Linked DNA regions of Styela clava. The protein of the gene in region 1 purifies or fractionates together with the protein of each later gene. This does not show direct contact. Links are inferred from orthologs where the notes say so. Each region holds a gene or a part of one and is shown in the gene's direction. Other genes may lie near its edges.

Evidence for each region.
Region 2: the proteins of acidic fibroblast growth factor intracellular-binding protein B-like (region 1) and C2 domain-containing protein 5-like purify together in Homo sapiens (affinity purification with mass spectrometry; 3 studies listed by BioGRID and IntAct, counting the BioPlex papers as one, with this or other methods). This does not show direct contact. The link is inferred for Styela clava from reciprocal best matches to the Homo sapiens genes FIBP and C2CD5.

Annotation. Positions count from the first base shown.
Region 1 is NC_135261.1:13,766,963-13,774,585, forward strand, and holds the start of acidic fibroblast growth factor intracellular-binding protein B-like, read left to right. Parts: upstream 1-4,598; 5' UTR 4,599-5,553; intron 5,554-6,062; 5' UTR 6,063-6,071; coding exon 6,072-7,133; 3' UTR 7,134-7,623. UniProt on the Homo sapiens protein: May be involved in mitogenic function of FGF1. May mediate with IER2 FGF-signaling in the establishment of laterality in the embryo.
Region 2 is NC_135251.1:23,303,496-23,310,641, reverse strand, and holds the start of C2 domain-containing protein 5-like, read left to right. Parts: upstream 1-4,128; 5' UTR 4,129-4,234; coding exon 4,235-4,324; intron 4,325-4,893; coding exon 4,894-4,980; intron 4,981-5,294; coding exon 5,295-5,466; intron 5,467-5,878; coding exon 5,879-5,974; intron 5,975-6,675; coding exon 6,676-6,860; intron 6,861-7,146. UniProt on the Homo sapiens protein: Required for insulin-stimulated glucose transport and glucose transporter SLC2A4/GLUT4 translocation from intracellular glucose storage vesicle (GSV) to the plasma membrane (PM) in adipocytes.

The DNA of each region.
Region 1 (7,623 bases):
CGACGACTACATAGGGGGTCCGCAGTGATATTGAGCGACTGAAAAATGTACATTTAACATATAGAGGACTTGCACGGGTCACGTGACTTTGTTACTGAACGGCAATAAAACAAACACGTCCATTTGGCTCCTGTCAGTTGCAAGTCGGATTATACGTTTCCGTTTTGTTTGGCTGTTGAAAATGGTTATTTCGTATTGTTCCGTTAGCTGTACGTATAGTATAGACAACGAAATGGATCTTCATTTATATTCCACTGATTTCAAAAGATCCGGAACGTCGCGCAATGTGGATATCATCTATTGCCTATTGGCAGAACTGCTTGGTGTCAAGTCCAGAAGCCATATTACTTGTGTTTCACTGTTTGCGGACAGCACTTCGTTGATGGTGAGTGATAATGTGGTGATAGTGTGCCGTTATCAATTTTTTCAAATATTCACAAGCTCCCTCATTTCAATGGAAAGCAGATGACAAACTACTGTTATTAGTAGGCTTAGGCGTGGGCCTACTTGCAGTTGCAGACTTGACTTGTGTGAGACAGTAAGGAATTAATAATCAATTGCTATAAGGTATTGTTTCCCTAACTAGCAGGTAATCTATTACTAAGTGTGAAAGGTTGAATAGATAACTAAAGTTTAACACCAGTGGTCATGCAAAAAATAACCAGAATTCAATTGATTCGCCATCTAGGAATACGCTCGCCACCGCCTCTCTGATCACCCTGGTAGTTTCACAGGTTTCAATCCCACGCGCGGATAGTTATGTGCGAGAGGATTGCAGCTCTACTCCCACCGAGGGTGGTTCACATGACCGCTGATCGGTTACGACCATTCCCCACCATCCAAGTCCATGCTTCTGAAAACAAATAACTGGCTCCTCCCCAGATAAATCCTATCCTAATGGTGCTTGTACAACTGATCCAAAATGTCTTTTTATTGTCATTGGTAAAAAAGATATGCTACCCGGAATCAAATTCATTTACGACTAGTGGCTGTGGTGGGATATGGACTTAAATTTCACACTCCTTGATCGTTAGATTTTATGAAAACTCTATCTGTATCCATTATCTTACAGATATGGGTGCGACAATGGAATAGATGGATGGCAAAGTATAAGTTGCAACAAGACCACAGTGGCACAAGACCTCAGCTTGCGTGACTTGATAATACATCCTCAGTATCCATTTATTGATGCTTATCGTAATGACAAAGTAACTTGTGATTACTGTGGATTGGTGGAGATAAAGTGTCCATTGTGCTTTAACGAAAGCAACTTCAAGACGACCCTATCAAGAAAAAAAAAATGTTTCGGTGGGTCTGGTAGTGAAGGTTTTAGTCTAACGTTGGACACCGATACTACAACAAGATACAGTTGCCAATGAAACTTACCGAGGCGTAATATTGCGACTTTGTGATCTGGAAGGAAATTCTGATGGGTAGCCGGCTAGCCGCAACCTTTTGTTCAAAGAATATTATGAGATATGACTTAAGAGTCTAAACTTTTATTTGAAAGGGGTGTAATCCAAGCTAATTTGCAAATGGTATTCATGGTACCAAATGTATCACACACTTTACAGTAATTATAAATTATATTTGAAAAATAAAGCACATCAAAAATGTATTTTTAAAAAAAATTGGTTTTATCTGCAGATACTAGGTTGATATTGAGATTGACCATTTCAATGCTAAATTTTCTTTAGTCAAAAGGCACAATTGATTCGCAAAGATTTGTGAATGCGCACAGTACACCAATTTGTCTAATGTTTTGATTCCATAGGCAGGAGGTTGTGGATCGGTGCTGCTCAGGATGGGATATTTTTGCCTCTAAATGCATATTACGTGTTTCACATGAATCCATCGTGCTCAGATTCGACTGTTTTCAAGGTCTGAAGGCTCCAACAGCCTTATTATTTTATGGCTACACAAGAGAATTTTCAGTGTGGCATGCATGGGTCAGTTGGAGTCACTAACCTCAAGATATCTATAAGCAAGGATAAGATAACCTGGAAGTAACATTCCATAATTTAGAGTAAAAAATGTATCTGCCTCCACAGCCCTTTCAAATGGAAGATATGATGCCTCGGGGGTAATTTCTATCAAATATTTTACAGTATTATGGTTCTAGTGAAAAGGGGTGTAGGCGGCTTTTTTTAAAGTGTGGTAGGTCTAGTCGAAAGACACATTAAATGTTTATGCTAACAACTGCAAATTAATATTGCAACACATACAATTTAACAGAATTTATTGAAATGGTCCTGCCTTTTTCCTTTCTTCAAAATCCCCCTTTTTCTAACTATTCTCTTCCTCTCTGGGGCTGGCGAAAATTCAAATATCGATGGGACATATAAGCAGCTGATAATGGGTTATCTTCCCTTTTTCCTGAAAATAAATTAAACACTAATCATCATTTGACAGTGCCAAGTTTGTGTATCAGATCAGTAATAAATTACCTGCGAACTAACAAAACAATCAGACAACACCTTCTGACCATTAATGAAGATTTCTTTCAATTTAAAACGCAACTATGCCTACCAATGTGGGTAGTTTTTAGGATAGAATTTATCTGTGGTTGGGGACAGATTGCAAGGTGCAACATCGTACGATTACCATTCTATGTCGGGATTAGTTAGCCAGTTATTTGATTTAGAAGCATGGACTTGATGGTGGGGGATGTCGTAATCGACCAGCGGTCGTGTAAACCACCCTCAGTGGGAGGAGAGCTGCAATCCCCTCACACATAACTATCCCCGCATGGGATTGGAACCTGTGAAACTCCCAGGGGGATCAGAGATGCGGTGGCGAGCGTATTCTTAGATGGAGAATTCAATTGAATTCTGGTTATTTTTTGCATTAGCACTGGCGTTAAACTTTAGTTATCTATTCAACTTTTCACTCTTACTAATAGATTACCTGCTAACTAGGGAAACAATACCTTATGGCAATTATTGATTAATATCTTACACGAGTCAAGTCTGCAACTCTGCAAGTAGGCCTACGCCTACCAATAACAGTAGTTTGTCATCTGCTTTCCATTGAAATGAGGGAGCTTATGAATATTCAAAAAAATTGCTAACGGCACATTATGACTTACCATCAACGAAGTGTTGTCCGCAAACAGTGAAACACAAGTGAGATGGCTTCTGGACTTGACACCAAGCAGTCCTGCCAATAGATGATATCCACATTGCGCGACGTTCCGGATCTTTTGAAAACAGTGGAATATAACTGAAGATCCATTTCGTTGTCTATACTATACGTACAGCCAGCGGAACAATACGAAATAACCATTTTCAACAGCCAAACAAAACGGAAACGTATAACCCGACTTGCAACTGACAGGAGCCAAATGGACGTTTTTGTTTTATTGCCGTCCAGTAAACAAGGTCACGTGACCCGTGCAAGTCCTCTATATCCACTGTTACTTACGTCACTCCGTGACGACTACACAGGGGTCCGCAGGGATATTGAGAGTCTGAAAAATAGTATAAGTATTGAGAAATTTTGAGAAAAGACGGGAAGAAGGTAAAAATCACAGAAAAACAGGAAATATGTATTCAGGGGACCACGGGAAACTTCAATAAAAAGCAGGAAGCTTTAAAGCGTGAAATACGGGATATTTCACTAAAACGCGGGACATAGGCTAGCGAAAAGTTTACTAATGAACTGAAACTACAGAAAATTTCCCTAAAAAAACGGTCATAACGTGGAATTTGCAGAAATATTTATCTAGGTATTTTGTAGGGAGAAATTGAATGAAACGCAGAATTATTAGGAAATGTTGGGAGACAAGGAAAATAAGGAAATCTATGATTAGGTGTTTTCATATAAATAATTGCAATAAAATTCTGAAGATTTGAGAATGGCGGAAAGATCGGAAAAAGTAAGAAAATTGGTTAGAAAGCATGAAATGTGTATTTAGGTTTTTTTATACGAAAAATTGCAAATAAATATTAAAGTAGGCCCCTATTCAGAAATGACGGCAAATGCGAGAAGAGCAAGGAAATCGCTGAAAACAGTATACAGTATATGTATTTAGGGGTTTCGTGTAAAAATTGCAAAAAAATGTTGAAATTGAAATTGCGGAAAGAGGAAAGAAATCTCTGAAAAACAGGGAATATATATTTAAGTATTTTTATACAGGAAATTGCGGAAAGAGTCGAAAAAAACAGAAAATATGCATTTAGAGGTTTTTATACAGAAAATTGCAACAAAATGTGGAAGTAGTGAGAAAGGCGGCAGGCGAGAAAGAAAATTGCGGAAAAACAGGAAATATGTATCCAAAGGTTTTCATACAAAAAATTGCATTAAAATGTGGAAGTATTGAGAAATTGTGGGAAAAGGCGGTTTTTGAACAGAAAATTGCAATAAAATATGAAAGTAGTGAGAAATGGCGGAAAGAGTGAAAAAATAGTGTATTTAGGTGTTTTTGAAGTATCCCGTACTTTCACATTCGCGTGTATATTTCACGTTGCTCTCCTTTTAGTGCAATTTCTCCTACACATTATCTAAAATGAAAATTTCCCATTCCATAGAGCGATTTCCCGCCATTCTCGCTTTATAGTAAAATTTTCTGTAGTTTCCGTCATTCCCATTCCATAGAGCGATTTCCCGCCATTCTCGCTTTCTAGTAAAATTTTCTGTAGTTTCCGTCATTGCTGTAGTTCCCGCTTTTTAGTGCAATTTCTCGTACTTTCAAATCCATGTGTATATTTTGCTCTCTCTTTTCAGTGCAGTTTTGCTAAACATACTCTAAAATGTATATTTGCCGTTTCATAGAACGATTTCCGGTCGTTTTCGCTTTTTGTGAAATTTTTCATAGTTCCCGTTTCCGAGTGCAATTTTTCGTACTTCCACACACATATGTCTATTTCCCGTTGCTGTTACTTTTTAGTGCAATATCGTCTGCGCATACTTTAACTATAATGTATATTACCCGTTGAATAGAGCGATTTCACGTCGTTCCCGCTTTTTGGTGAAATTTCCCGCAATTCCCAACATTCCCATTGTTACCGCTTAATGAGTTTAGACTTTTCTGTTTTTTGTCTCGTCACTTTCTGTATCTTTATAACGAACAATTTTTTTGAATTAAACATTCAAAAACAACTAACGATTATATATATGACACCTGCTAAACTCCAAACTCTTGGCAAGTAGGGGATTTCCCTGTCCATAATTTGGGGATTTTTCAAACGCAAGAATCGAAAATAAAAGAAGTTGTTGGAATGCGGATGCTGTTTGGTTCGAATTTGGTTTCCCTTTTATCATTAAGTCTGAAAAAACTGATATAGGTCTGTCGTATATATCACTGCTTATCATCAAATTAATGATAATATATCAATAACTGGCATCGTTTCAATTTTCAAGAAGAGTGCAGGTTTAGCCAATAAAGAACACGTTGTCACCATTTTAGCCAATTAAGAACACGTTGAACGTTGTAGATGAGTTTAATATTGTGGATATACACGGAATACAGACGATGAATACAACATTAGAACATCGAGAGACGAGACGGCACTTATCACGACGATTCGACTCCTAATACAAGACCTTTCAACGGTACCTCTCTTTCAAATATCCAATTGAAACCATATTTATACGTACAGACGTATGTGCGTATGGTGATATCGATTCCATTAGGGTTTGGAATACTAATTACCATATGTTATCGATCCAATTATATTTTTGGTTGTCATCTGTTTGTCTAATTACAACGGGCCCTAGGCTATATCGATCCAATTCATGAATTCGGAGAAATTGGAAATTAGCAATTTCCAGTCTTTTTAATGTATTTTACCTGTAATAACGAATTTATCCCCAAACAGGTACCGTACCCTAACAGTATCGTGTGGTATTTCTAATGTTCCTATCAATTCAATAAGCAATATGGCAACATTTGCACCAGTACAATAAATTGGCCATTTTAAAATTTTTTTTAGCATTATTTCGATATCTAGATTTTCACCCAGCTATCGCCTATCGACAGATTGATATGCATTTTGTACAATGTAAATGGCATTGATCTTCTGTTTGCATAGTTTGACAGTAGGTAACTCATTGTCATTTAGATTAAAATTATGGAGATTCAGCCAGAGATTGATATATTTGTTGGCAATAACACTGTTATTGATATGGATGTATATGATTTATGGCTCCGCAGGGTTTCTGCAACAGATGCTGTGAAGCAGCATAAGATAAAGGGAAAGTCAGTAACTGCAGATTTAGTTCTGAGCGATGTTCTGGATCAATATCGAACATTGGGATTACTTGAAAAATATCTCAAGATACCCTCTAGCCTTGGTCATCAGATGTCCTTCCAACTGACACCAAAAATGCAGAGAGAACTCATCACACGATATTACACATTTGATGAAACTGTCATACGTGAACTTTTAGGAAAGAAACTATCTCGAAACACTTATCAAAGCATGGATGAAATTGCAGATAAAACTGGAATAAATTTACGAAGCTGCATAAGACAGTTTGATAACTGCAGGCGAGTTTTTAAAGCTGTTGAAGAAATACCAGGAATACTGGTTGAAAATATAGGAAAACAGTTTTTGCTTCCCAAGGATTTATCATGGGCATATGCAACTGTTGTGTTTCTTGCAAACCATAGATTTGAATGCACAAAACGAAAACTGAGTCATATGACCCTTAATAATTTTATTACTTGCTCGCAAGTGTTAATTGAAAATTGGTCGTATGGTCATTCCGAGTCTGAAACTCTGGATATGAACGTAGATATAGATCGAGAATTTTTGCATGATCTCAGAGGTGTGAAGTTTTTAGCATCTGATAGAGATCTTGTGGATAAATGTAAAGAGTGTTTAATAAAAAATTCTGCTGCAGGAGGTTCAAGTATTGAAGCAGCTTGCAAACTTTTATGTCGTATTATTCCTACAATTGCATCAGATCTATATCATACTAAAGATCTGAGAGACTTATTTGTAGACATTGTTGAAAAAATTGTAGAGCCAGCTCGTGTTGCTAAATGGTCAAAAACTTTAATGGAAGACTTTTTGGTTAACTATAGCAAATTTTCTATTGAACATCCACAGCTAGTCGTGTTCAAGATAATTTGGTTGCGGTATATCAATGCAATTAACACTTGTATATTACAATCATATTATTGCTAAAACTTATTTTTAAATTTCCTGTTGTTTTTTGTCTCTCTTCAACCCGACGCTGGTTTCATTTGGTAACCTGAGGCCAAGATGCTAACTAGTTTAGGCCTAGTTTGACTATGATTAAAGATTATCTGAATCTCCTTGCTATGAATAATCCTATTTTATATGTTCATACTCATATCAGGGCTACTCAAGTATATATTACCGAAGGTGCGCATACAAACAAAACTTCAAAAATATTTGGGTCCGGACTTTCCAGAAATTATATTTCGGCATCTTTAAACACGCAATTCCTCAGCTGACTAATGATTATTAGCTAATCAAGTTTGTTTGTTGTGGCGTTATAGGTAGTTCTTTTCATATATATTTTTAAATCTATAAAAGTGATTTTATAAAGAAAATTTTAAAAGTGGGGCTGAGGATTCAAAATGAGGAATTATGCGCGGTTCGAATCGAATACCCGAAAGGTCCGGATTCAGACCGCGGTCCGCCAGTTGAG
Region 2 (7,146 bases), on another chromosome or scaffold:
CAACTTATTCCAAGTTTAATGAACGTATAGTATATATGTATGTCCAAGAGAAAAAGATGTTTGATAAATTATCTAGGAAATTTATTTGAAATACCAAACCGTTTTTAAATATGTTACGTCTGCATTGTTTATAAAAGTTTGAATACACGCTATGTTTGGTATTATATATGGCCAAGTCAAAACGTGCTGCTACAGTTCTGACATAATGAAATCAAATCTATAAGGTATCTGCTTTACTCCGAATGTGTCGTAGTGCTGCCTTTATTGGCGGTTTTTGAAAAATCGCCCTTTCAAAAACGATATTTTTTTAAAAACTTCGAAAAAAATCCACAAGAGGGCGTCAAATCATTTTTTGTTATTTTACGATTCGCCGTCTTATTCCAAGTTTAATGAACATACAGTTTTGATGTATGACCAAGAGAGGAAAGTGTTTGATGAATTATCCAGTAAATTAAGTTGAAATACCTAACCGTTTTTAAATATGTTACATCTACGTAGTTGATAAAATTGAAAATTATACGCTATGTTTGGTATTATATATGGCCAAGTCAAAACGTGCTGCTACTGTTCTGACATAATAAAATCGAATCTATAAGGTATCTGCTTTTCTCCGAATGTGTCGTAGTGCTGCCTTTATTGGCGGTTTTTGAGAAATCGCTATTTCAAAAACGATAATTTTTCGAAAATTTGAAAATAATCAACAAGAAGGCGAAACATGATTTTCCGTTATTTCATACTTTCCGCAACTCATTCCAAGTTCAATGGACGTACAGTATATATGTATGTCCAAGAGAAAAAGATGTTTGATAAATTATCTAGGAAATTTAGTTGAAATACCAAACCGTTTTTAAATATGTTACGTCTGCATTGTTTATAAAAGTTTGAATACACGCTATGTTTGGTATTATATATGGTCAAGTCAAAACGTGCTGCTACTGTTCTGACATAATAAAATCGAATCTATAAGGTATCTGCTTTTCTCCGAATGTGTCGTAGTGCTGCCTTTATTGGCGGTTTTTGAGAAATCGCTATTTCAAAAACGATAATTTTTCGAAAATTTGAAAATAATCAACAAGAAGGCGAAACATGATTTTCCGTTATTTCATACTTTCCGCAACTCATTCCAAGTTCAATGGACGTACAGTATATATGTATGTCCAAGAGAAAAAGATGTTTGATAAATTATCTAGGAAATTTAGTTGAAATACCAAACCGTTTTTAAATATGTTACGTCTGCATTGTTTATAAAAGTTTGAATACACGCTATGTTTGGTATTATATATGGCCAAGTGAAAACGTGCTGCTACTGTTCTGACATAATAAAATCGAATCTATAAGGTATCTGCTTTTCTCCGAATGTGTCGTAGTGCTGCCTTTATTGGCGGTTTTTGAGAAATCGCTATTTCAAAAACGATAATTTTTCGAAAATTTGAAAATAATCAACAAGAAGGCGAAACATGATTTTCCGTTATTTCATACTTTCCGCAACTCATTCCAAGTTCAATGGACGTACAGTATATATGTATGTCCAAGAGAAAAAGATGTTTGATAAATTATCTAGGAAATTAAGTTGAAATACCTAACCGTTTTTAAATATGTTACATCTACGTAGTTGATAAAATTGATAATTATACGCTATGTTTGGTATTATATATGGCCAAGTCAAAACGTGCTGCTACTGTTCTGACATAATAAAATCGAATCTATAAGGTATCTGCTTTTCTCCGAATGTGTCGTAGTGCTGCCTTTATTGGCGGTTTTTGAGAAATCGCTATTTCAAAAACGATAATTTTTCGAAAATTTGAAAATAATCAACAAGAAGGCGAAACATGATTTTCCGTTATTTCATACTTTCCGCAACTCATTCCAAGTTCAATGGACGTACAGTATATATGTATGTCCAAGAGAAAAAGATGTTTGATAAATTATCTAGGAAATTTAGTTGAAATACCAAACCGTTTTTAAATATGTTACGTCTGCATTGTTTATAAAAGTTTGAATACACGCTATGTTTGGTATTATATATGGCCAAGTCAAAACGTGCCGCTACTGTTCTGACATAATGAAATCAAATCTATAAGGTATCTGCTTTACTCCGAATGTGTCGTAGTGCTGCCTTTATTGGCGGTTTTTGAGAAATCGTCCTTTCAAAAACGATATTTTTTCAAAAACTTCGAAAAAAATCCACAAGAGGGCGTCAAATCATTTTTTGTTATTTTAGGATTCGCCGTCTTATTCCAAGTTTAATGAACATACAGTTTTGATGTATGACCAAGAGAGAAAAGTGTTTGATGAATTATCCAGTAAATTAAGTTGAAATACCTAACCGTTTTTAAATATGTTACATCTACATAGTTAATAAAATTGAAAATTATACGCTATGTTTGGTATTATATATGGCCAAGTCAAAACGTACTGCTACTGTTCTGACATAATAAAATCGAATCTATAAGGTATCTGCTTTTCTCCGAATGTGTCGTAGTGCTGCCTTTATTGGCGGTTTTTGAGAAATCGCTATTTCAAAAACGATAATTTTTCGAAAATTTGAAAATAATCAACAAGAAGGCGAAACATGATTTTCCGTTATTTCATACTTTCCGCAACTCATTCCAAGTTCAATGGACGTACAGTATATATGTATGTCCAAGAGAAAAAGATGTTTGGTAAATTATCAAGGAAATTTAGTTGAAATACCAAACTGTTTTTAAATATGTCACATCTACATAGTTAATAAAATTGAAAATATACGCTATGTTTGGAATTATATATGGCCAAGTCAAAACGTGCTGCTACTGTTCTGACATATTCAAATCGAATCTATAAGGTATCTGCTTTTCTCCAAATGTGTCGTAATGCTGCCTTTATTGGCGGTTTCGAGAAATCGCTATTTCAATAACGATAATTTTTTGAAATTTTGAAAATAATCCACAAAAGGACGTAAAATGCTTTTTGGTATTTTATACTTTCCGCAAATTATTCGAACGTACAGTATATATGTATGTCCAAGAAAAGAAGATGTTTGATAATTTATCTAGTAAATTTAGTTGAAATACCAAACGTTTTTTGAATATGTTACGTCTACATTGTTTATAACTTTTTGAATACACGCTATATTTGGTATTATATATGGCCAAGTCAAAACATGCTGCTACTGTTCTGACATAATGAAATCAAATCTATAAGGTATCTGCTTTTCTCCGAATGTGCCGTAGTGCTGCCTTTATTGGCGGTTTTTGAGAAATCGCTCTTTCAAAAACGATATTTTTTTGAAATTCCGAAAAAAATCCGCAAGAGGGCGTAAAATCATTTTTTGTTATTTTTAGATTTGCCACTTATTCCAAGTTTAATGCTATGTTTGGTATCATGTATTGCCAAGTTAAAACGTGCTGCTACTGTTCTGACATATTAAAATCGAATCTATAGAGTATCTGCTTTTCTTCGAATGTGTCGTAGTGCTGCCTTTATTGGCGGTTTTTGAGAAATCGCCCTTTCAAAAACGATAATTTTGTGAAATTTATCAAAGAATCCACAAGAGGGCGTAAATTTTTTCTCGGTATTTTAGACTTTCCTCAACTTATTCTAAGTTTAATGAAGTGCATTATTGTTGTGTGACAAAGAGAAAAATATCTTCTTTGATGAACTATCCAGTAAATTTAGTTGAAATACAAAATCAGTTTCAAATTTGTTGTATATACATTGTTTTAAAAATTGAAGAATATACGCTATGTTTAGTATTATATATGATCAAGTCAAAACGTGCTGAGACTGTTCTGACATAATGAAATCGAATCTTTGAGGTTTCTACTTTTCACCAATGGTGTTGCAATGCTGCCTTTATTGGAGGTTTTCATGAAACGACCATGTTACACGACGAAAATTCAGTCATTTTTAAATATCTCTCAAAAAATTATAAAAAAATTTTGTGCACTGTAACAGTCGCTTTAGCTTGTTTACTATATATTAACAATACGAGGAGTGTAGTTAATGATTGTTTTGCCTTAATTGCTATTGTGAAACTAATCAAAATATACACTTTCTTTTAAAAATCATTGGGAACATTTAATTTTACGCGTGGGTATTTTCTGCGATTCTGTCAGTCACAATTTCGTGTTTTGCTGCTAGCTTCACAGAGGTGATCATCACGTCTGTAATACAGTATTAGAGGTAAAGACTACATACCGGTACACTACAGTAAAAAAGTTATATTTGTTGACTGGGCTGTTGCACTAATAAGATGCCAGGTCGCCTCAAAGTCAAAATTTTATCTGGTCGTCACTTGCCTGTTATGGACAGGGCATCTGAACTAACTGATGCATTTGTTGAGGTAAGTTACCTGTCTGCCTGTAAAACAGCATGAGGGTCTAGTATAGTTTAGTACCACAAGTACTTCCAGTGGACGTAGCATAACGATTTTTGCATATGTTATTCCTAACCCTCACCTGACTATGCCATTAAAAAATTACTTCACTACGACGTCATCATCACGTCATAGGGATTGCCAAAGTATAATTCAGTAATTACGATCGCCCGAAATGGCATCTTGCTAAAGCCGGCGATCTCTCTCCTATCGTGATCGTTGCGACGAGAAAACGAGAGAAATAGCTTGCTCGATTTCGGGTTATCGTCTGCGCGTTTTGGACGACCATCCGCATACTTCGGTGAGCCTTATTACGCCACTGTGACGTCGGAATGACGTAATTTTTCGGTGACGTAGTCAGGTGGGGGTTAGGATTGACATATGCAAAAATTGTTGAGCCAGGCCAACTAGAAGTGGATGTGGTACTAAACTATACCAGACCCCAGGACCCACAGCACTGCAGCATGAATTACTTATAAATTTGTTCCGATAACGTATACTCAGCCTTAAATTTTCGAGACGTTGTTCTTTTACAGGTCAAATTTGGCAATACGACTTATAAAACAGATGTTTATTTAAAGTCACTCAATCCTTCTTGGAACTCAGAATGGTTCATTTTTGAGGTAATAAACCGTTTCATTTTATTTGGCCAAATATATCGTGATCCTAATTTTAAAATACATTTAGATTCAATTTTTGTTGTCCAACATGGTTTAAGTGATTTATCACTAATAACAAAATGTCTATTGTCTATCACCCCCTGAAATAAAAAGCTGGGAAACTGGTTTTCATATTTCAGTATTTTAATAATCTTCCAATTTAATCAGCATTACAAATGATAGAATAATTGATAAAGACAAGTAATTAAAAACTTATTACTGTATTATAAGAACTGAAGAATCGGAAAGTGGAATGCATTCTTCTATTCTTTTTCAAGGTTGATGATGAGCATTTGCAAGATGAACCGCTACAGATACGAGTGTTGGACCACGATACATATAGTTCTCATGATGCAATAGGAAAGATTTACATTGATATTGATCCACTGTTAGTTCCTGATTCTCCAAATTCTTTACATGGATGGTTTCCTATATATGACACAATGCATGGTATGTCTGTATGTATTTTGGTTTGTTGAATATGTTGTTTTGGTAAGTTAAATATACGATATAGCTTTAAGAGTCGTAAGTTTTGTCTTCTCACCGCAATTTCGAGCCTATTAATATCAAGAACTACATAATTTCTTTTACTTATCATTTTCATGAGATTTGTTTATATTAAAAGTGTTAGGAATGTGAGTATCTGTTACTAATATTTCTCAATTACTCAATGGAATATTATTTCCTTATCCGATTAAAATGTAATTGGTGAATATTGAAGCATGTTCTCGAAGAAAACTCATCTGAACAAAATGAGGAAGCATAACTGAAAACTTTTGACTTGATTATGCTTATTGCTGAAATATTGTCAGTGACAATGAAGTGATATGAAATGTTAATTTATAAATTTTTGTAATTTTAGGTATAAGAGGAGAGATATTGATTTCTGTAAAAATTGAACTATTCGCTGACTTCAATAGATTTAAAAAATCCTCATGCGGAATCAAGTTCATATGTGGTGAGTTAGTATTCTTGCTTACCTATTTTTTTACATATTCAAATAAATGTCCTAAGTGAATCAAGAATCTTGCTGCTCACTAACACAGATATATTTCTGTAACGTTTCGTCTGACCAAGGTCAGACTTCTTCAGACATACAACAGAAATATATTTGTGTTAGGGTGCAGTAAGACTCCTGAATCACTTAGGATTGTTATCTTTACTCTTGCTACAGCATCCTTGCATTATATGCATACGGATCCACCGGCACAAAAGCATAGAAGAAGAATAAGTAGTCAGTCTCGCACAAACCAAATCAATAGCGCAAGTTCAAATAAATGGTTCCTTAATAAATAAATAAATGGTGGTTTTGATCAAGATATATCAATATTAAAATTTAAAGTGCTAGTAGGTTGGGTTACTCGTACAGCAAAAGACGTAAGACTAATACAATTAACTGCGGTTCCTATTTCGCTTACCTCTTCTGCTATGGAAATTTATTCCAGGCGCAGATTCCTGAATTGATTCATTAGACTGATGTGAATAGTGTTAGTATACTATATTTTCTGAATCTCTTCTATGCATGACCATAATTCGGGGTTTAGTCGCACATAATGAACATATCATTGAAAACTTTCTGAAACTTCTAGTTGCGAAGCTTTTCAAAATCAAGCTATACTTTCCTATGCCAGTTGCTTTATCAACGCTTTTTTTACCCAGGTACTGTTATTCCTGAATGCTACAGAATATCAATAATACAGGGATTTGTAGAAGAACTTGTCGTGAGTGAAGATCCAGAATATCAATGGATTGATAAACTACGAACTCCTCGTGCAACTAATGAAGCAAGACAAAGACTGTTTTCTCAAGTTTCTGGTGAATTACAACGAAGAATAGGAACAAAGGTTGCTTGAAAATATATGTTAAAATTATGACAGAAATTTTGCATCACTGTGCTTCTATTATAGATGATATAATGGACTAGTTCTTCTGAAATTTCGAAAGTTTTTACTCCAAAAAGACCCTTTTCAGTCTTAAAACTCGATTAGTTGCTGTCAATGAAGATAGGCTACCAAACAAAAAAATTCATTCCAAAATTCTTTTCTCAGAGCTTAAGTTATATGGAATTCACTATCTTACATAGCTGTTTCCCTGATTGCATTGACATGAACTGCTTTAAGTCTTGCTTCA